3 linked regions of the Oreochromis niloticus genome follow. The protein of the gene in region 2 interacts with the protein of the main gene of each other region in a pairwise test. Links are inferred from orthologs where the notes say so. Each region holds a gene or a part of one and is shown on either strand. Other genes may lie near its edges. The genes, in order: pou2f1b, sp4 and nrf1.

What was found.
Region 1: the proteins of sp4 (region 2) and pou2f1b interact in binary tests that used the Homo sapiens proteins (3 or more experiments, as listed by UniProt). The two-hybrid records come from large-scale screens. The link is inferred for Oreochromis niloticus from reciprocal best matches to the Homo sapiens genes SP4 and POU2F1.
Region 3: the proteins of sp4 (region 2) and nrf1 interact in binary tests that used the Homo sapiens proteins (3 or more experiments, as listed by UniProt). The two-hybrid records come from large-scale screens. The link is inferred for Oreochromis niloticus from reciprocal best matches to the Homo sapiens genes SP4 and NRF1.

What each region holds. Positions count from the first base shown.
Region 1 is NC_031987.2:21,331,118-21,338,959, forward strand, and holds the start of pou2f1b (POU domain, class 2, transcription factor 1b), read right to left. Parts: upstream 3,069-7,842; 5' UTR 2,992-3,068; coding exon 2,946-2,991; intron 1-2,945. UniProt on the Homo sapiens protein: Transcription factor that binds to the octamer motif (5'-ATTTGCAT-3') and activates the promoters of the genes for some small nuclear RNAs (snRNA) and of genes such as those for histone H2B and immunoglobulins.
Region 2 is NC_031985.2:23,769,512-23,776,752, forward strand, and holds the start of sp4 (transcription factor Sp4), read right to left. Parts: upstream 3,079-7,241; 5' UTR 2,342-3,078; coding exon 2,335-2,341; intron 2,052-2,334; coding exon 1,981-2,051; intron 977-1,980; coding exon 626-976; intron 534-625; coding exon 1-533. UniProt on the Homo sapiens protein: Binds to GT and GC boxes promoters elements. Probable transcriptional activator.
Region 3 is NC_031981.2:11,025,752-11,033,314, forward strand, and holds the start of nrf1 (nuclear respiratory factor 1), read right to left. Parts: upstream 3,004-7,563; 5' UTR 2,863-3,003; intron 1,315-2,862; 5' UTR 1,272-1,314; coding exon 1,203-1,271; intron 1,057-1,202; coding exon 912-1,056; intron 362-911; coding exon 247-361; intron 113-246; coding exon 1-112. UniProt on the Homo sapiens protein: Transcription factor that activates the expression of the EIF2S1 (EIF2-alpha) gene. Links the transcriptional modulation of key metabolic genes to cellular growth and development.

The sequences.
Region 1 (7,842 bases), on a different chromosome or scaffold from region 2:
CTAACCAAATTAAAGTGAAGTTTCTCAGGGACAACAACTCAGCTACTTCAAATGGGCACGTACAGAGGTTAGCCACATGAACCAGTACTACAGTCTGAATTCAGACACACATTCACCACTTAGGAAAACAGCACATGCATGAACATTTGATTATTAATGTGTTGTGTGTTTTACTTTTGTCTAATAGGAAAACAGTGCAGCCTTTTTCCTTTAAAAAAAAAAAAAAATGTATCCAGCTTCCTGACTGTTGACTCAAGCCAACATTTTAATCTCATCTATTTAAAGGACGGGCATTATTGCAACGATATTTCAGTCTGGATATTTTCAGACAAAAGGCCTCTGTTTTCTTAACGTGCCTTGCATTATATCGTGTTTGCAGCATTTAAAAAAAAGTTCTAATGAAATACAAATGTTTACTAGTACTAGTGATCTTAATTATGTTAAGCACATGACAGTCATCATCAGGAACAATGTGACTACTTCCAAATCTTCAGCATATAGAGTCTGATTTAATCTTCCAAATTAGTGTGTTGTTTGTCTTAAAAAGCCTCCGTTTTTACACATAAAGACCAGCTGGAAACATCTGCTTTACCTTGCTGCACTGTTTAATAAGGAATTGCTGTCTTTACCAGAGATCACTAAAAACAAAACAAGTAGTTACAACCCTGAGGACACAAAAGAGCTCTTTTTTTGGTTATAATTTTCCTCCATTAAAAAAAAAAAAAAGTCGTCTGACTGGAGCTTTCATGGAGGCCTTCTCAGTACTTTGAGATGGCATGTCCTGAATTTATTACGGCAAATGATGCATTATTCATAACAACTGTGTTTACATCAATGAATATTCATGATGGAACTACAAGGCTGGAATGAGGGTGGAACTGTAAAACTGATTAAATGAGAAAAGTAGACTGAGTGTGAGGAAGACAGAATTACTTCTCGCATGTTCTTAAGTGCCCAAGTTTAATATGCAAGATTTTTTTTTTTTTTTTTTAAATGCAATCTAAGCCAATTCCAGACAGTCGAAATGCTAACAGACACATTAGAATGTAACACTTTGAGCATTATTTTGAATATTAAACCATTTATGGCCTTTCTTCTCAAACAATCTATATCTTTTAGATTCATAACTGTCTTGCAATATATAAGGACACTGCCTGTAATGCCTGTGTGCGCATAAAGTTGCTAACAATGTGGGCAAAGTTTGAAATGAGTGTATCTACATCGGAAAGAATTCAATCTTATTCAAGAATCCTTAACAAAAAAAGCAAACCCAAACCTTGTTTTAACTTGCTAAGAGACATTAATACGTTCCTCTGTAATTATAAGATAATGAGTCGGTTACACCACTTAAAAAAAAGAAGAAGAAAAGAAAAAAACTCAAGGACACACAAACACACCTGATGTGTCACACAATGGCTTTTCTGGCGCATTTTCTGAAATATAAAAAGTTGAACAGCAAAGATAATTACCTGCTCTTTACTGTTACTACAACAGACCTCAGACACGCTTCTTTAAAACAAACTAAACAGCAAGCTCAGCTACATGGACTAAAGGAGAAAAAAAGTGCCATCAAGCTGTGTCTTGCCCGGCCATGAAAGCAGCAGAGTGAATAATAAGAATGCCCTGCCTGTTATTACTGTGGCCTTCCGGAAGTGGGCCTCACCACCCCTCCCTGTGCCTAGGGGTGGCGGGTAGGGGATACACAGGTACAATCTTTGAATTCAGCCCAAAAACTCCAGCAACAAACACGCATGACGCGTACAAGCCCGGTTCTCAAAACCGTTACGTCAGGCGCAATTAAAAGCTGCACAAATAAATTATACATTGTAATGAGATGGATTAGTTCGCCTGGCAGACCAGGACCAACCCGATGCCAGACTACTCCCACCTCAAGTTTAAAATAATAATAATTTAAAAAAGTGCTCGACCCAACTTTCGAACTGTTTAACTTCCGAAACAAATATGTCAAACACATTCATCTCAACATCTCACTATATATGTATCTGACCTAAACTTAAAAAAATAACAAATAAAATCGCCGTGTACGTAAAGTTAGCCGATAAACGGCTGGCAAGTTGTAGCCAGTTAGCCGCTCGGAGGACAGCCGTATTCAAATGAAACACGGGAGGCCTCATTTGAAAAGTCATTCGGCGTCGTGACACGGTGTTGTGTTGACATGCATTTATTGTGTGCTCCTCGTCGACTGCTGTAACGCGCTGAACTCCGCACAGTGTGGCTCAGGCAGGCAGGCCCCGCATGAATAACACAACAGGCTCTGCCGTGGCTCCGCTGCGCCGAGCACACAAAAGGCTGGGGCAAAACGCTCCGCTATAAAAATCACGTCGAGCACAAGCACTCCGAGCTGACTCCGTGTGTCTTTAACAAAGGGAAGGTCTGCTACAGTTTGATTAAATAACACCCTCCTCCCTTATAAACGACCCTTTGAAAACATACGAGCGCAGCCGCTGCCCGACTCGGCTAAAATGAATATGCAAACCCGTTTCAAAAGCTTCGGTGTGTGCATCAACACAAAGCCAAGCGCTAGCACGGCAGCTAACGCTAGCCAGCTAGCATAATCATTTCAATCAAACAGCGTTCGTGAAAGGTCTAAATATGTCATACATGAACCAGAGCCACGATGGCGATTACTAATAAAATATGCTAAATTGTATTTGTCGACAGAGGTATGAATATGTAGCGGCGTACAGCCGTCTAATCACACAAAGGGGGGGAGGCATGTTTCCATGTAATTTGCCGTCGCACTGCAAAGGCTCGTTTCCTCCTCTGTCAAATTACAGTTGGCTAGCTGTGTGTAAACTAAAGCAGCGCCTAATATCGCCCTTATCTGCTAATCAATCTGCATTTCATCAGTATACCGTTATCATAAATTGTGAGTAACACAGTTTGAATATGAGTATGAATATGTAAAATGCTGTAATCATTACCTGCTCCTGAACTCTCATCTTGACTCGCTGCTCCTCCGTCCGCCATTTTGAATATTTAACCCGAAATCCCAGCCCTGACACACACTCACACTCGCACATATACACATACACAAATGCACGTGCACGTTTTCATGGATTCCCGCATGCGCTCAGGGACCTGGTCTGAGGATAGTGGAGCGTGTTGTGAGCTGTGGCTTATTTACATACTTAAACAGGCATCTTGTTTTCTTTACACAATAATTTTTGAATTGAACAGGCCATGGGCGGATCACCCAGCGGACCTGCGCAGTATTATCGCGGAAAACACTATCAACACTAGCCCTGAAAATTGCCCAGAGCCATTTATGCTGGTTTGACTCACCACTTAAAAGTCAAATAAAACAAAATATACCCCGAGGAATTTAGAAAAATGCGTAATGTGTGACAACCACAGTCATCTTAATCTATGACTCAGACTATTTCACAGAAATACCAGGAGAAATATTGTATTGCTATTTACTGGGGATTTATGAACTTGTATTGATGCTTTGTCTGCATGTGTTGCAGCAAAACATTGATTAGACCATCTTATTTCAAAAACATATACAAAGCATGAAGCAACAGAAGAACAATGATTGTATTGCTTTGTTGTCATGCGTGCCCTGATAATGATGTTTAATGTTCATATAGTCTTATTCGAATAGACTTTTTCTTTTCCATATATTTGCTTACTGTCTCTGGTATCATTGCTGTTTCTGTTTATTTATGGAAAAAGTAAACATGTAAATCAAGAACACATTTCCTTATATCCCCACCCCTTCCTGCATGTTGTCCATTGATCTATACCAGGATATATATCAGAATATACCAGGAGTATGACGGTTTTCATCCGTCATGAAAACGGATGGGGGTTTTTAATATATATAACTGTTGATGGCTTTTAAAAAAGTGTTGCGCCTCTGAAATTCACTATTTCAGTTTTTAATGTTATAATTTTATCCCTCCATCCAGCGTCATGGAGGGCTTGTGTATACCCCAGGTGTTGTAAAGTGAAAAGCGAGGTATTCTTGGACAGGCTGACAGTCCATCACAGGCCTAATATAAAGAAACAGACAACTACACACTGTCATATCTACAATTGTGGTCAGACATTTACATACATCGAACACGGGGATGAATGAGCTTTTACTGGCTTCTCTGCACTTTTCATTTTCCAGGGTAAAGCATAGATCTTTATTGACTTTGAAAAAATAAAAATTGGCTACACGAGTTTGAATTTATTTTTGGATTTTCTTGAATCCCCACAGGGTCAAAAGTCTTCATCCTTAAATACATACACCCCCACTAATATTTGGTGAAATCTCCCTTAGCATCTTGCACCTTGACCAGATGATTTTGATTGCCATAAGCAAGCTTGTGGTTGGATATTTGACCGCTCATCAGAATTTATAGAGTTCATTTAAAATCATTGTTTTCCTGGCACGGACCTGGCTTTTAAGCATAGTCCACATATATTTAATAATGCTGAAATCTTCTTAAGTAGTACAGATACTAGTGTTAAAAATACCCCAGTAAAAGTAATGAAGCAACTTCTTTACTCAAGTAAAAGTACAGGCTCTGAAATGTACTCAAAGTAAGAAAGTAAAAGTTCATTTACACCAGCTATTTTTTTTTTTGAAACCTCACTGAACGTTGTGCTATATGTATAATAATGTAATAATGTAATAATTAAATAATATTAGTATATAGGAAACAAACTTTATTTCCATCTAAATTTAATTCTAATAAAGGGACCAAGCTAAAATCAGTTTTACTGGCTTTAGTGACTCACAACTCAGAATAATTTCTATTGAGAGCTGCAGCAGATTTTCTTTGTGTACAGGCTGTGATCAGCTGACCTGTGCTGCTCTGAGGTTTACTGCTCTCACCTGAATTCAACAAGATGTAGGCAGATGTTTCATAAGTTCTCCATAAGACACTATAAAGTTGGTATAACGGTGGAATTCAGCGAGTGAATCTAAGTAACATCAGCTTAACTTCAAATTCATCTCTGCTACACTTGATGTGATCTAACTCTGACCATGAAGCCACAGCCACTGTCCACCAGTCACACACAGTCCTTTACTGTGAATAACCACAGTACTGCAAACTAACCTGTTTATCCTGCGCTAACCTGCAGAGATTTCTCATGCAGTCTTTAAATAGCACAAATAGTATACAACAGGTTGTTGTGCAGCACGTTTCACAACATGAAAAAAAACATGTGACATGTACAGACCCAATAAAAACATGAGGACTTTACATTTACCACTGAGCGGTCCTCACCTTTATTATGACCTCCCTTCTCCCTCTTTCTATCACCGAGTGAAGTTAGCTCTCATTTTTTTCTATCCCTGTAAACACATTTAAGCTAGCAACACACCGTGCGACAAACTATTAGACACAGTTTGCGTGTTTAATTATGTTTGTTGAGCTAATAGAAACGCTGCATTTTAAATGACCTGCCACTTAAAAACAAACACATCACTCCCTTTATGTTTTTTCTCGCTCCTCTTTTGTAGGGCTAGCTAGATGTTGAAGGCCTACAACTGCAGCTTATGGACATCTGCAGGTGTTCCGGTGTTGTGCTAACTTTAACCCCTGGCTATGACACAAGGTTTTGCCTCTTTCATCTGTTTTTGTGCTACATTGCCTGGTGATTAATACGTAAACAGGACTGCTTTTCAGGTGTTAATGTTTAGGCTCAAATTGGTTTGATGTTTGACGGCTCGACGTCACTTTGTGCACCGTACCAGTGCGACTGAGAGCAAAACAGCCCCGCATTACGATGCTACAGTTTGAAACAAAGTTTGAAAGCCTCATTCATATTCCTTCAAACATACCTCTTGTTATTGTAGCCAAGTAGCTCAGTCTTTGCCTCATCTGATCATAAAACATTTCTCAAGAAGGCATTTCCATGTGGGCAGCTGCAAACTTCAGCTGAGTTTGAAGGTGCTGATTTTGGAGCAGGGGCTTCTTTCTTGGTCTCAGTTCGCGATTTTGTACAACTTGCTTCACAAAGGACAGTGAATCCGCTGTTCGGGAATTTTCTAGTTTATGGCAGGTTTGAGCCTTGGTGCTTCTTGGGTGGTTCCTAAACATCATAACCAATTCCCTCTCCTCTGGGAGTGACAGTTTGGCTCTTCCTCCAGACCTCGCAAAGTGGTGACAAATCAGAAAAACTTGTACTTTCTGTTGTTTAAAGTGGGTTAAAGTGTTATGCTTGTCATATGCTCGTGCTGCATGCTGATTGTCCTTTTTCTGTGAGCTCACTGTAAAAAACCAACCAACCAAATTATTGTAATTGTTTATCTGGTACTTAATTGCTTTGGTGTAGTATTAATTTTAATGGCAGGAGACTTTATCAATAAGAGAACCTGTAAAAAAAAAATAAAAATCAAAAATCAAAAATCTATGCACTCCTTCACCTGTCCAGTGGACTGGAGTTCAGCCTTTGCTGGGCCGATTCTGGCCCGCATGTTTGACACTGTTAGCATATAGTATATAGGCAGCTCTGAAAAAACATTTTTGCTTCAGCTGATTAATCAGTAACAGAAAAATCAATAATTTACTTACTGAGAAATAATACCTTATTTGTCTTGGAAAGTTTTTGCTCTGGATTTATTCCCCCTCAGTTTGTTTTATTGTTCACAACTAGATTTCAGCTTTACTTGAGTATTTTATACTTAATTTATTCTGACTCCTATTAAACTGTCAAACAGCACCAGCAGGAAAATGTTCACTAATAGAAGTAAATGGGTCATTCCTAGTATTTAGTGAAATTCTCATGAGAGAATCTAGTGCATTTTGTGTCAGTACTAGTCAATACTTTTTTCTAATGGCTTAAATTATCAACCCTCATCTACCATCTAACACAATTATATGTATCCGAAATATTTTTTATAATAATCACTCAGATTTTTAATTAAACATGTTTGTTCGGTTTTAGTTATCAATATGTTATAAAATTAAGACAATTTCCATTACTTATCCACAGCCTTATTTATAATGTTCTATACCAACAACTATCGTTGCTATCAATACAAACCAGGATGTTTCAATTTTTTAAAAATAGGTTATATCCATAAACTGTCCCTCCTGTTACATTTACAGAAGTCCTTCTGATCAGGTTAGTTAACTGTTCCTCTAGTCATATGACTCACAGGAAGTAGTAAAATGTTATTGGAGGGAGTTTTGCAAGAGTCAGAGTAAGTATCAATCTTTGCGCAACCTTCCTCCCCGCCATATTTCAGAATGGTTCACAGAGGTAGTGAAGTGCAAAATGTCCACTCTGTTACATTTATTTCCAGAATAAAGTGATCATAGTTGATATTTTGATATGGTGGACACACTTTTAAAAAAAAACAAAAACCTTTTTGTAGTTTTGATGTGCTTTTCTGTTGTGCGCCACATGATCAAAAAAAAATCATAAAACATCTTCTGTGTTACTGACGACCCGTGTCACTGTTTTGCACAGTAACAGGGTGGATGCACTGTAATAATCATAGTGGTCAATTCACATGCTCTGCACATTTTTGTGTGCATTTTTAATTTACTGATATTACAACATGTAGGAATTTAATTAAATGTTCAGCACATTCAAATAGTATTCATAGTTTGGTATCTAAATCCTAAAATTGTTGGACAGCTTAAAAGTGTTTAAATTATAAATTAAAACATTCTGGCACGATGGCTGGGCTGTTACAATTCCCATTTCAGCTGGTTCAGTTCAGTTCAGTTTTATTAATATAGTCAAAAGGTGTCCAAATAAAGCTACTTTCACCTATTCCCTTGTCACAGCATGAGTTTTCCACTGGACACCTTTCCTGACATAACCCCAAGGAGGATTTGTGTCTCTGACTAGAACTGAACCAGATAC
Region 2 (7,241 bases):
GTGGTAGGAGCCGCCCCTGACACAGCTGTTGTCACCAGCTGGTTGCCATTAGCAACAGAGAATGTGCCATCTGCTGATTGGATAAGCTGCACAGCTCCACCCCCTCCAACATTATTGATCACAGGCAAAGCCAGGGTCATGCCACCAAGGTTTATAGGTACTGTGGTCATGACAGGAGTTTGGGAGCCTTGCAGAGTCTGCAGCTGAAGTGGGAATGACTGCGCAGGACGGATCTGCAGTGGAACCGTCTGATTGGCTGTACTCGTCAGGATGGCCTGCTGGTTGGTGGGTTGAATGATAGCTTGGGTCTGGCCCGAACTCGGAGTCTGGATGAGCTGAACCTGCTCGGGAACGGCCCCGATGGAGGCTGTTTGAGGGCTGATGTGGATCTGCTGTCCATCTGCAGTCTGCAAGTGCGGGATGACCTGATACTGGACTCCTGCTCCAGCATTGGGCAGGTTCTGAACCTGGATGATCTGAAATTGCTGCTGCTGATTGGCTGCGACACTGTTGGTCCCACCTACTGCCTTTACCTGCCCAACAGGAAGGGAGCAGTAATTCAGTTATATGGACAAGGATTAAAAATTAATAAAAAACATTTGCACAAACACACCACTCCCCTCACCTTACGTCCACCAGGTGAGCTGTCATTAGCCAAGGTGGTGGCCACGGTCACAGCAACAGGTTGACTGGTGTTCTCCTTGGCCATAGTAGGCGCTGCTGTAATGATCTGCCAGCCGTTCCCTGTGAACTGTGCCGGGACCAGTTCTAGCTGCTGGGGCACTAAGGCCTGACCCCCAGCCGTGTCCACCACTATTTGACCCTGGATCTGTCCCGCCTGCAACTGGATCTGACCAGCCTGGACCTGGATCTGCTGGGCCCCTGCTTGGGCCTGTGCCCCCTCTGCTCCCCCCTGCCCTCCGATCTTACTGCAGGTGGCTGCTAGCAGAGCCAATGGAGAGGGCTGAGAAGAATCCTAGAGGAGACGATGGAGGAAAGTGGATGGAGGAGTAATGGATGGATGGATGGGAGGGGTGAGAAGGGTGATAGGGAAAATAGGAGTGACAGGGGAAGGAAGGATAAGAAGGGAGTCAGGGTTAGAAACATACATTAACAGCTTGTACGCAAACACAAACAAATCAAAAGAGTACATGTGTAAAGATAAAAAAAACTTAAGGCCGGGGATGATAGCAGGTATCATTGCAAACGCTCACGCAATGATTAATTTTAAATGAATAAGAGAAAAAGGAAAAAGAGCAAGGGGTGGGAAATAACATGGTGCAGAAAAAAGAAACACAAAAAGCTGAGTGAAAGCGAGAGAGAGAGCTGTCAGTGGAAGTGGGCGGTATTACAGGAAGCGAGTGGGTGGGCGTGTGAGAACCACATTTCTCTTTTCTCAGAACACTGGAAGAAAATGCCGCCTTCTCTCTCCTCCCTTTTCAAAGGAACTAGGTCGCAGGCAAATTTTTAATGCTCAACACCTCACAACAGTGCACGGGGAAACAGCCTAGATTTTGTAACAACTACAAGAGCAGGAAAATTAACACAGCAGCGATGCTCGTCATGCACATTTAATGACAATAAGATGCGCTCAAGAACAGCTGCCTGGCTCAAAAATAATCTCAAAGATATATATGTATACAACCTGCTGCAGAGAGAAGTGTCACAGTCTCAGGGCCACTTAAGCAAAGCTGCAGGTCTTTCAATAATATCCACGTGCGGAATTAAATCATTCTGACCATAATTCAAACAGACAGTTCAAAAAGTATAGCGGCTGAAGTGTGACAGCCGTGTAAGCCTATTCATGAGGCTCTGGGTTGGCTCACTGTAGGGCTGCACAGAAGCAGGAAGTGGAATTCACCAGAGAAACGCCCCCAGAGGTGTCTGGCTGGCTGGGCTGGGAGGGAGGGAGTACATTTTTGGCCTACAGGCAAGGGAAAAGTAACGAACTATAATAAACTCCTGTCTCCTTGCTTTTACCTGTGATCCAGAACTTTTCCCCCTTTTAGATGCTTTCCCTCCTTCAGTTCCAGATGATTCCTTCTTCGAGTCTGTGAGGAAGAGGAAGAAATGTTAGAATATTTTCTATTATAATATTATCACTTGGGTATTACTGAGTACTACAAAGTCCCGAGCACTGTACGGGGCACTGCATGCTGCAAATAAAATCCAAGCAAAAAAATAGCATATATGGCATCACAGAGGTGATCAATATAGACAGAAGAGAAACCAGTAACCTTATCATCAATATCAAAGGGGCATTGAGCTTCCTATCTGTCAAACGGCTAGAAAGAGGGAAAGAGGGGTGGAGACGGGGAGGGGGAGGGTACCTACCACTCATAACGCATTAATATACCGAGAGGGAGAGGGTGTAGTTCACGGTAGAAGGCCGGCCGGGTACACAGGCGGAGGACGGCCTATATGTTCGGCTCTGAGCCGTGGCGGATCTGCCCGTTTGACGAAACCACCCACCGGCCAGGAAGGGCGGTGCCAAGCGCAGGAACAATCAAACAGCCCCAAATAACGGAAATAACAGAGAGAGCGGTGACCGTCCCCGGTCCGCCGGACACCTCACAGATCCGTCGTATGACTCCTTTACCGGATAGACAGTCCATAAACGAGCAAATTGGCGCTTGTCAGAGTGATATCCACAGAGAAGTTGGCAGTGTGTGACCGTAGAGGCCCACCCACTTCCATTTAAGCATCAGGACAACACCCTCCTCGCAGCTCCTGCCTGTCACCGCTGTTTCTCACGCCGCACGACGCGGGGACGCCTCGTCGCTGTCCGTCGCGCGCCGAAAACAAACCGTCACCTGTGTTGGTATTTTAAGCGTGTTCCCCTTTTTTTCGTGCACAATTGATTTTTTTAAGGGGGGGATACAGGGAGATAGCTGTGGCTTTTGTGGGCGGACGCGCTCCTCCCACATATTCAGATTGGACGACGGGGCTCGGCGTGCGAGGGTCGAGATGGGAGTTGTATTTTGGTGAGGCCTCGCCTTCTCGAACTGGCTAGCGCGAGCGGGACTACAACTCCCGTGATGCTCCGGCTCGTCGGAGCGGCGGTGTCGGTAGTCATGTTGGTGTGAGAGCGAGAGGGAAGGGCGGTGACTTCTGTGTTGTGGGGGGTTGGGCAAACGGGAAAGGAGGTGTGTGCGCGCGCGCCCGTGTGTTTTGTGTGCGCGTGTCAGTTTCAGAATGTCAGTAACGATTAAAAAGATAAGATAATCAGGGAAACAAATGATTTAATTATTTTGAAATCATTTAAAAGGTGAAAATGCAACAGTGTTGCTTCTAAGCTGATGTACTTCTATTTATTTACCTCGTATATTTTCCCCTTGTTGACAACTTTAGATCTTATGTAGTAGAAAATTACATCATTGCATTGCCAGAGGCTTTAGGAAATTCACACTTGTACAAGATTTGTGTGTGTGTGTGTGTGTGTGTTTGGCTGTTGTTATGCAATTGTGAATTGAATATGTTGATTCTGACTGGCTAGTTCAACAAAAATGCTTCTTCAGACAAATTGAACTTTTGGGATATGCATTATAGCTTCATTCTGCCAATCAATAGTATTTTTTACAGTGGGGGAAACAATCATTTGATCCTTTTGAACAATTTGTATTTGAATGTGTAAGTTTGGTCAGTTGCAAAGAAATAAACAGTCTCTAATTTTTATGAAAGTTTTATCATGGAGAGAGACTACTTGGATACTAACCCCGAGTTGCTCTCCAATGCATCGGAGTATGAATGTGTGTGTGAATGTTAGGTAGGAAGCACTTAAAAGCATAGAAAAAAGTGCTTCTGTGACTGAGTCTGAATGTGGCATGTTGTATAAAGCGCTCTGAGTGCTCTAGGAAAGTAGAAAAGTGCTATATGTGACTTAAGCTTGGGTACCTTGATGCCGCTACAAGATTTCAAGTGTGAGCAAACTTACAAATTCAGCAGGGGATCAAATAATTATTTCCCCCAATTTGGTCCCCCAAAAATAGCTGATTCCAACTCCTCTGATGCTAATATGTTCATGTTTACAGAGTTTAGCCTGTTGGTTAGGGCTAACATCCCATGCCATAAACCACAGATGTTTAAAAGAATGCTGAGAATCTTAACAGCTGATGCATTTAAAAAAAAATCATCTACTAATTAAATCACAGTAAATATAGTCATTATTTTTTTGTTCATTAAGTGACTTTGTAGAAGCTGGTTGCTTATATCATCCAGCAACAATACACACTGTTTTCTGTTTAGACTAATAATACATAAACAGTCCATCTGTTTTAGCATTCAGGAACTGTCCACGAAATAAGAATCAGCCTGGCATGATAACTTTATCCCATAAAGTGACACTGTTACTACTGTTCTGTAAATGCATCTGGGGTGGTTTCAGGCCGAGGAACAACAGCTGCACTTAAGTGTCTAAATAGAAACAGAAGTCAAGTCTGTCACTCTAGTGACAAAACCTCTTTCAGACTTCTGAACAGTGTGGTTTTAATGCATCTGAGAAGTAGAGGTTTGTGATGAAGCAGAAGGCCTGTATGAGGGCCTTTAGGCCTGTATGGGTTTCTCCGTGGCTTTAGCCAGTCACAGCCCTGGTTCACTAAGCAGAAAACATCATTAGCAAGAGGCCAACTGAGGATATGGCTCTGGCCCACAGGGGAAATATTTAGGCTTATAGACTGGCAGCCAAGGCAATGCAGTTGTCTCAGTGTCTCACCCCAACATAACATCATAAACACTCAGACAGGATGGTATAGAAGTTCCATATCTAGTATTAATTAAAAACGTGACAACTCATCTCTAATTGACGTGTTAATAAGTTGTTTCCCTGAACATGATACTTTTATGCCTTCATGTGCCTAAATGAGGAAAACGTGCATAGGTAGCCCTAAACCTTTGCATCATCTTAGTATGCACAGACCTCTAAATGTGTAAATAAGTGTCTCACGTGTCTTCACCAGCCTATCTGGTGTGTGCCTGTAAGTTAAACAAACCTGCTCAAACTCTGAAAACTATTGCAATATATGTAACAATCAGAAGTCGTTGTTGAGAAAGAAGAGAAAATTGAAAAAAGAACAAATATACAGTAGGATTAAGCATCGTGCTTGGCTTTTTTGTTGCCATCTTAGTTATAAAATAAGTTTAGCACTGGTTAGGTAGCCTGTTTAGCAGCGTGCATCAATGATCCAATGGGACATTAAAGGGGTTGTTAACTTAGGCTAGCATAAAACAAAATGACTGAAGGAAACAGCTGTTTATTAGCACAGCTGAATTCTCAGCAAAAGGTTGCCAATTGCTTTACGTGTCAGAATGTGTTTAATATATCTCTATATCTATCTTAAATGGTAAAAGATATCATAAGCCTTCAGCTTTGTTCCTCATCGCCCACACACAGCCACTAAGAGGTTACTGCTTCCCTAACTTTGAAACCCTGATGGTATAAACCAACGTATCTGAGACTGTCATTACCATGCTGCAGTCCTAAGGAGGAACTGTTCAGCTGTAATATCAGCTGGTTGGTTTCCTCGTGGCTTTCACACGTTAACGCTGTAAAAAACACAATTTTCACTAGAGCGAGTCTTTCAGCCTTGTCCATGCATGTAGCTTGCATTTGATCAATTTAGTCCCTGTGTGTCCAGCATGGATGTAACAGGTAATCCCATAGATATTCTTAACATGGCCTTTCACATTTGATTATCATAATGCTGAGACATATCTCATGAATGAGACTTTTCACACTTAAAGGCCTAAAGAGATTTTAAGAACTTTGTTCTTGTAGCATGCTCATACACTTTATGCTTATGTGGTTTCGTTTCCCCTTTTTTCAAAGATTTTTATTGTGTTTGTTTGTGTCATTGTATTTGGGGAAACACTGCAGTCTAAACATATTTTCATAATGAAACTATGTTCACAGGAAAACATACCTGGGCTGGCCTAGAAACATACATGCACATGCACTGTAATTACTGCGGAAGCCACGGCCCTTGTTCCCGCCTTCTGGGCCACTCGGCAGGGCGTTGCTAGGCAACGAGGTCTGCTCGGAAGAAGGGGTGTTGTTATATATGTATGTAAGGTGGTGGTGATGGAAGGGGGTGTGGTAGAAAGAAGGCTGTTCTCTGGGATAGATAAATATCCTGCTAACAGAAAAACTAATATCCACTGCAGTAAAACTCTATGATACAATAAGGCTTTAATTTACAGCAGGTTCAATCCTCGTTAAAGTTGTATTTATCATATTTGTCTAAAAGTCATTGAGTTTCCTGCAAAATGTAGCATCCCTTTATGCTCACTAAAAGACAAATAAATAAATAAACAAATAAATAAATAAAATATCAGCTAATAGATAATAAACATTACAGCTAAAGGAATTCATGATGGGAACAGGTTACAACTGATAGTTTCATTTGTGAACAGCTGCAACCACTAGATGGCGCCATGTACCAGTCAGGACGACAGATTGTGTACTCGTCCTTGCAGCTGTTTCCACAAAAGACTTGTTGAGATTTCTTACAATGAAAAAAAAGTTATTTAAAAAGAATCCGTTGCAAGTCAAACTTCTGCATTGCAGGTAAAGTCAAAGGTTTTCTGAAGGGTCCTTTTATGGTCCTTTTATTTATTTTCTGTTGTTATACGGAGCCATGAACAAAGTGTTTGCGACCTTGTTGATTTCTTAGTTTTTTGCATATTTGTCACACTGACTAGTTTTAAATCATCAAACAAATGTTCATATTAGACAGAGATAACCAGAGAGAAAATACGGAACAGTGGTGAACCTTCTAAGCCAGCCTACCAAAATTACTCCAAGTGAACCCAGAAGATAATTTAAAGAAGTGCAGGCCTCACTTGCCTCAGCTAAGCTCAGAGTGCTTGATTCAACAATAAGAAAGAGACTGGGCAAAAATGGCATTTATGGAAGAGTTCTAATGTAAAAATCACTGCTGACCAAAAACAACACAAACGCTTATCTTATATTTAACAAAAAAAACATCTGGTTGATAACACATTAACATTTAATTACACTATAGTTTAATTGCACTATAGTTTAACAACACATAGCTTTGTTGAATTTGTGTTTATAAAATTTGTTGCTACTGTTGTTGTTGCATCATAGAAAATACTCAAGAGCCTATTCTTGTGTCCTTTAATGTAATTATTGCAGTTCAGCTTGAGTTTCTTTCTTTCTGATGAAAGGCAGACTTCACATTTGCTGTGCTGTTTTTCACTTTCTTGTTGTCCTATAACCAAAC
Region 3 (7,563 bases), on a different chromosome or scaffold from region 2:
AGCAGCACCAAACACCTTGAACACAGGGTTGGGTTTGGAGGGGGAGATGCACAACACTATGGCTTGTTGGCCCACTCTGGTGGTGTACTCATCCAACGTGGCTCGCAGTTTCCTGTTAACAAACACCATCCTTTACTTCTGTGTTCAGATTAAAAGCTACAAAGCACAACAACAATTCTACCCTAGGAGCTGAGCGAGGGATATTTTGGTCACCGTAGCTGCTGACAGAAAAGCTATTAGATTCACCTGAGGAGACGAGTCTGCTGTCTCTTACGGATGGAAGGGTTGGATTCAAAGATATGAGGCCTTTTTCTTTTCTTCCCAGTTGCTACGGCAGCAGCAGCTGCCATACCCACTGGCCCTGAAAGAAAGAGGAGGAGGGAGAGATTTTAGCAAAGGTAAAAAGAGACAAAGTATTTTCCTTCTCTGATTTGAGCTTTTAAATACACAGCCCATGCGGTTGTTACTGTTTATTGTTCTTTCTCTTTTTTAATATAAAGTATGTTTTTAAAAAGACCTGAAGTAGCACTTCACCGATTTAATTTCAAATCATGCCAACTTTAAGATGAAAAAAACCCCCTCAAAACATGGCAGAGGCTTGACAGAAGGCAACACTGCCTACACAACTAATCCACTGGCGCCACCTGTTGCTCAACTGAAAGCATTTTGCTTAAATTATGGTGTTATGGGATTTACCAGGCTTGTATAATTAAACACAGATGCTAAGAAGAATTAAAAAAACAAACAAAAAAATGGTCTGTTGTAAGGAGTTGACTGTCTAATTTGCCACAAACTTTGCAACCTTAATAATGATTATCAACACAAGTCTACAGGTCGTGAAGCACTTCTGCTTGTAACTTTGGTCAGACCCAACTAACACACTCTGGAAACAGCACAGAGTTTAGACTCACCTGCAGCAGCCAGGTGAGCTGTGACCTCATCAGTGCCAGCCGAGTTGAGGATGTCTGTGTCATCATAAGGATCGTCATCTGGTGAGGAGGTCGAGTCTTCCTCAGCGCTCATCATGGATGTGTCAGTCAAGGTGGTCACATGTACCTATACACGAATCAATGAATGAATGAACCTGGGACTATAGTGGGGCGTTAAGATTTCTGATCTGGGCCAGTAATTTAACAAGATGAGTGATTAATATCAGTAAATTTGTTTCTAATTTACACCATTTATTATGCTTGTAAATGCACCTGCTGGCTGACAGCGCTAGCCTCAATTGTGGTCATGTGCTCTGCCTGGTGAACGGAGTGCTCATCCATTATCAGCCAGCTGGTCTACACAGCTAGGTCCACAGTACAGTTACTGAGGAAAAAAAGAGGGAAGTGATCAAAGTACATCAAATTTAACGAATAATGATATGTTATCTTAACAAGACAATATGCTGATATTTATTTATACATTTAAATGAATTCCTATGCACCAAGAATTTGGAAGTGTTATGATATTTCAGACAAAACTGTGACCATGCACAGCTGCCACTGTCATTTATTTTTACAGGGAGAGCTGTCTGATGAAGATGCTGGGGTGTCTTTGTGCTTGTGCTTAGTGCACCACTGCCGCTCTGCCTCCAGAGGACGTCATACTGCATTAATAGGGAATTTCATTTGGAAGAGTATTGTCTGAAAACAATGATTCATTTTTTTCCACTCTTGTCTGACTGTACCACTTTCACTCTGCCCATAGAGGGCACTTATGTTAGGTGTTACAGGTGATGAATTTGGAAGATGTGCATTCCACCCAGTAATAGATAGCTTAGCACAACAAATCACAATTTCATGTCCAACTAAAGGGTCTTTTAAATTAAATTTTGTCACAGTATGGGAAACTCCATATTAATTTGGAAAACTGGATATATGAGTATGTGGAGTTACACTGTAGTGTGGCTGAGGAAAAATAAACATATATTGCACACTAACACACACATAATGCTTATGTTCACTCCAAATCAATCAAATTACAGCGGTTAAAAGGTTTATGAATAAATGAAAGGAGACCGTTTCATGTAGATAACCTGCTTCATTGATACAGTGCAAAGATGATTTATAGAATAGTTCTTTAATCATGTATCTGCACACACAGTTTTAACTTTTATAGTGGCATACAAGAACGTCAATACTGCCCCCCCCAAAAAATAAATAAATAAATAAATAAATAAATAATTATATATAACTGAAATTCAGGTCATTAATTTCAGTCTAATATATTTATAGCCAGCTGCAGTACATGAAGTCTAGACACTGAGGAGATCAGTGATGCACGAAACGCACAACTCCACAACAATGTGTATGTGTAACCAATTTAGTGACCTGCAACCAGCTTAATTTTGCACAGCACTGGATAAAGAATTGATCGTGCCAGACAGTAGTGTACAGTTAGCCGGATCTGCCGGTCTACTGTCAACGACTGCTTCACTGAGCTAAGCTAGCAATGCCCTACATTCAGCTAATTAGCTGCCTAGCTAACCATTTGGCGGTATAAAGCCGGTCGTCTAAAATAACACGAATTCTGCCACCTATTTTGCACGTTCAGACACTAAACAAAACGATTACAGGGCGCTGTGAAAGCCGTCGTAATGCAGCAGCTAGCACGAAACCCGCGCAAAAAATCACACAAAAACATAGCGCCATAACAGGCCCGGGCCTGTGGGCTCATCCTCAGCTATTCTTCTCTCTCCGAGGTTGAAGTCGATACGCGCCTAGATTACGATTCCCCCCAAAAACAGATTTAAAATACAATCCGACTCCAGTCAACAGCTAAACAATCTGCATCGTTCACCCCAACGCTGCCGGGTTCGATGATGCGGCTGCGCCGGGGCTGAAATAGATGGAGATTGCGCGGTAGGGCACTAACCTCAGAGCGGCTGCGCTACTTCGGGCCTGCGCCGTACAGCGGGGATGGAGCCGAGCTTTAATGGAGGACAGAGGGGAGCCAGCACCAAACACAACCAACAGACCGCACACAACAGTGAGCTGCACTAGTGATGCTTTCAAGTGCCTGCCGCGTAACCGTAACAGTAATACTCAAGAACTGAAACTACAACAACAAACGCGCTCATAAATACTTCGTAGACATTGTTTTCTTTAAACTGATTCTAGTTAACAACTCATTGCCGATGTTTCAGCATGACAGAAATATTAAACATAACTTCACTTTTTATTATGTCAGTTTTTAAATTCTCGAAATTTTTTAATGAACCCCTACAAAACTGTTAAAATATCCGATTTTATTTCAGAGCCTTTATGTTTTTTGGGGAGGGAAGAGTAATTAAAAATGAAAGGGAGCATGGAAATATGAAACATAAAGTTTATCTCAGTAAATAAAAGATCAAACTAAGTAGTTTTTGCTGATTTTCCACGTGTAGAAAACCTGGACGTCACTAAATGTCCAGTTTAATATAACACAGACCTTTTTTTCATTGCGGTTAAGCCCATAGTTTACGATTCTGCAATGAAACCTAACTTTTCCTGTACTCATGAACGCCACATAAGACCTGTCGAGCCACGCCCCTTTCTATTCAACAGCGGCAGGCGCCAGAAGATGGTCGTTATTCAAAAGTGGTCTAATCCGGTTTGGCAACAAACAAACACGAAACCACACAAAATTAAAGCATCTTTATTTTGTGTTAATAAAAGCTACCCCCCTACTCAGACCCCATCATTAACAATTAAAAAAACCCCCAACCAAACAAACAGAAAAAACCCCCCAACAACAATAGGCTAGACCAAACCAAAATTTCCAATTTACTGTAATTAGCAACTCCTGTGGTGCTGTGACATAGAGATGCCTTTAGATTCTTCGAAGAGGTTAGTTGACTAAGCTGTTACTTGTTCATTTTCTCGTGTTTATTTTCTTTCCCTAATAATACACAACTAATTTGCACAACTTTAATTATGAGACTTATGCAAAGTTTTATGCGGAAACATAGCAAGATTGGGCAGTAGCAAAAGGATAGCATTTGAACCGGTTAACACAGATTACAGAAAGTCATCCACCCAGATCAGTGATAAAATCGAAGGAAATTTGAATTCAGATTACTTTGTCAAGAATTTTACTATGCCGATTTTAAAATAGTGAAATATTTTCATAGTATCAGTTAAGTCATGTCTATCAGATTACTGCCTTGCTTAATAGTTAGCAATTTTTAAAAATAGATAATTACGTTTAGTATAGTATTATATTTATAATAAAATGGAAGATATGCATCATAATATTGTAAAACGGCAACAACAAAAACTTACTCAAAAGAAACATGAACCTATAAGATGCACGCTACAGGGTAAACATGCAGTTTGTGTATTTTGTTTGTCAGAAATCTTTTATTCATTTGAATGGAAGCATTTTTGTGCAACTCAAAAATAAAGTTCCAATTAATGAGGTTTCTTTGTTGTTTTTAATACCAGACATTCAGTGCTTCTGAGCTTTCTGCAGCTTTCTCTGTATTGGTGGCAGATATTAAAATGAAGTTTAAGACATTACTGTAACCCTAAACACAGTTGGCATCTTAAACACCTTCTGGTGGGAAAGTGAGCTAAACGGATAAAGAGGCAAGTTTCTGATGCGCTTATATTTAATTTCATACGTCCTCAAGGGGGCAGTGTTGCATTACAAATCAGTCATGGAGCTGCGCTCTTCAAGTTTGTTGTAACAGGAGATGGCAGTAGGGCATCATTGATACGGCTCTCTGCAGGTGCCCTGGCATGTATTCAAGATGATGGATGTTTTACATTAGTGTGTGATGACAGCAGCTTATGTTTGTGTCTCACTAAATGTCAGCAAGTATCATATTAAAAAATCTGGCAGGAGAGCTGCAGAGTGTGATCCTGCGTTTTACAGCTTCCATACTGTGTAGCTGACCTTCAATCCTCTCTGTCTCACTGTCATCCCTCTCTGTCTTACTTTGCTTTCTACAGACAGACATGTGTTTTCATTGTTTCCTAAAGCTTCACAATGGATATTTATATAGAAAGAAAAATTGGGTGTGTTTTCTTTCCTGTTCCACACAACTCGCGTTGAAATTTTAAGAAGAATTTGTTGAATTTTCTTTGTGAAAAAGTCAACCTTTAGCTATATTGTTTGCCTGGACTTTTATTCAGTTTTCTGACTCAGGAGATCATTTAAACATATTTTTTTTTTTAACTAACTTGCACTCTGGCGCATAGATCATTTTAGCAGAGTCGAAACTGCTGACAAATAATTTTTATGCCATTCACAGAAGTTGTTTCCCAAGGGCACTGCAGTGTGAAGCAATATCCTTTAGATAGGTGATGATGTCACATAGATGGACTGAAAAGCTGGAGAATGTTGAAGAAGCAAGGTGCTGTTATTTGGCCCTATTCTGCTTTCTCTATCATGGGCTATGGTTAGGTATAGATAAGGTTTACAGCCTGGGGCTCTGGAATCAATAATGGATGTAATTGGTGAGCTGGAAGTGAGGATAATTGAAGGTAATTGTGTGGACCGTCACCAGCTTTGTCGAGAGGTCAAGTTATCGAAGACGAGAAGATGGCGGGGATGTGAAATCACTCTCTCTCCCCTAGACCTCCTACTGTATACCTATTGTTTACAGCATTATTTAGTAATAACACCTTTGCATTTTATTGACTTTCTTTTTCAAAGCTGAAACAATAGTTCCAAGAATAAGGTGTTTGTCCTTACATAAATTGTTATATTTGCTCAGAAAAAGCTATATGACCTTGTAGTAAACTAGATCTTTTGCATCTTTGGGCCTTTTGGTGTAAAGGTCCAATTTACAGATGTTAGAGTTTAAGCTTGTGCTATTTGTAGAGGACGCTTTACAAACACATTGCTACCATTCATACTCTTAGATCAGATATTTCCTTGTATCAGCAGCCTCACCCTTCTGCTGTTCAAACTTTCTGTTTATGAGGGGGACCCAATCAGAAGAAAGTTGGCTTGAAGTTACAGTAACCTGTTTCAGACACTGCATGGCCTGAGGGGCTGCATCAACGCCTAGTATAAGATGATTTTCATTTCTACTTGACTGGATTACTGCAACGCCCTTTTTGCAGGGCTTCCTAAAACAACTTTCAGTAAGATGTAGCTTATTCAGAGGTCTGCTGCAAGGGTATTAATGGAAACCAATAACAGAGAGCACATTAGTGCAGATACTGGCTTCCAGAATCCTACAGAATTGATTTAAAAATATTTTATTTATATAAACAAATCTTAAATGGTCTGACAGTTAGTCACTTCACATCTGAGTTTGCCTTCTTAGATCTTCCACTGCCAAACTGTTGGCTATGCAGTACTCCTCACAGAGAAAAATTGGGGATGCAGCTTTTGCACATTATACCCCCAAACTCTGAAACAGCCTCTCCCTCAAAATATTAGAGAAGTACACTCTACCAATAATTTCAAGAAACTGTTAAAAACACGCTTTAAATCTGGCATTCAACTAGCATACCACTGTCAGTTTTGGTGAGACTCCATTCAGTAGTCTGGCAGATACGACCCATGCTTCTTCATTATATTTTTCCCTGTTTTTTGTGGGACTTTATGTATTATTTATTTTTATGTATGAGCTGTTTATAAACTTGTGGGTGTGCATATATGCATTTTTAATGGGTTGTTCATTTGTTAAATATCTCTTTTTAATATATTTATCAACCTCCTTACCCCCAGAAAAGCCCTTTGAACCCATACATGTGATATTGGGCTATACAAATAATTGAAGTGGATTCATGTTTATTTTGAACTGTGAATCATAAAAAGGCACGCTACTAGAGTCCAAAGATAAAGAATGGAAATTTTGGAAAACAGCATAATAGATCTCCTGTCATTTAAACACAAATTTGTAGTTTGAATTGTCATTCTATAAATTCTTTGGGTCTATTGGGCTTCCCAATAAATCTTTAATCCAGTACCAACTCCAAAATATTTTTCTTATCAGTCTCAGTTATTTTTATCTGGAAGAAAATTATGCAGCCACTTCATTTAGTCACTTGATATGTGCATGTTGTTTTCATTTTTTTTTTTTTTTTTTTTTTTGTCAGTACAACCAGTGCAGTTGTAATGCTGGTCCATAAAGCAGTGAACTGTTGCACTATTTTGGCAGCATTCATTAAGAATATGGTATAAAATGGTGTAATTTTTAATTTAAAAATGTCTGCTAGTCAATATAATTCAAGAATCACAATGCAAAAACTTATAGCCTGTGCATATGTAGATGCTCAGAGTAACTGTTATGCTCTGAGTCTCTTTGGCATTGTGTATTGGACTGAAGCAACTCATAGAATATTAATTAAATTCTCTCATAGATTCTTTTCTCCCAGTGAACTTTCCAGGGGCAGAGAAGTTATTAAAGGTGAAATGTGTTCTATGGTCAGCAGGGGGCACTGCAGTACTGTCCATTAACTCAAATCTCAACCTCTGCGAAAACTTAACCGGTGCTCTGCAGAGTCATGGCCACTGAATGATATGACACTTTCATTCATATTTCACTCTAAGAACATTCAGCGATTACTCCCATCTTATAGCTTGGAGTAAAAGAATTCCAAGATCTGCAGTCTCTTATCTTTCTGTAGATTATAT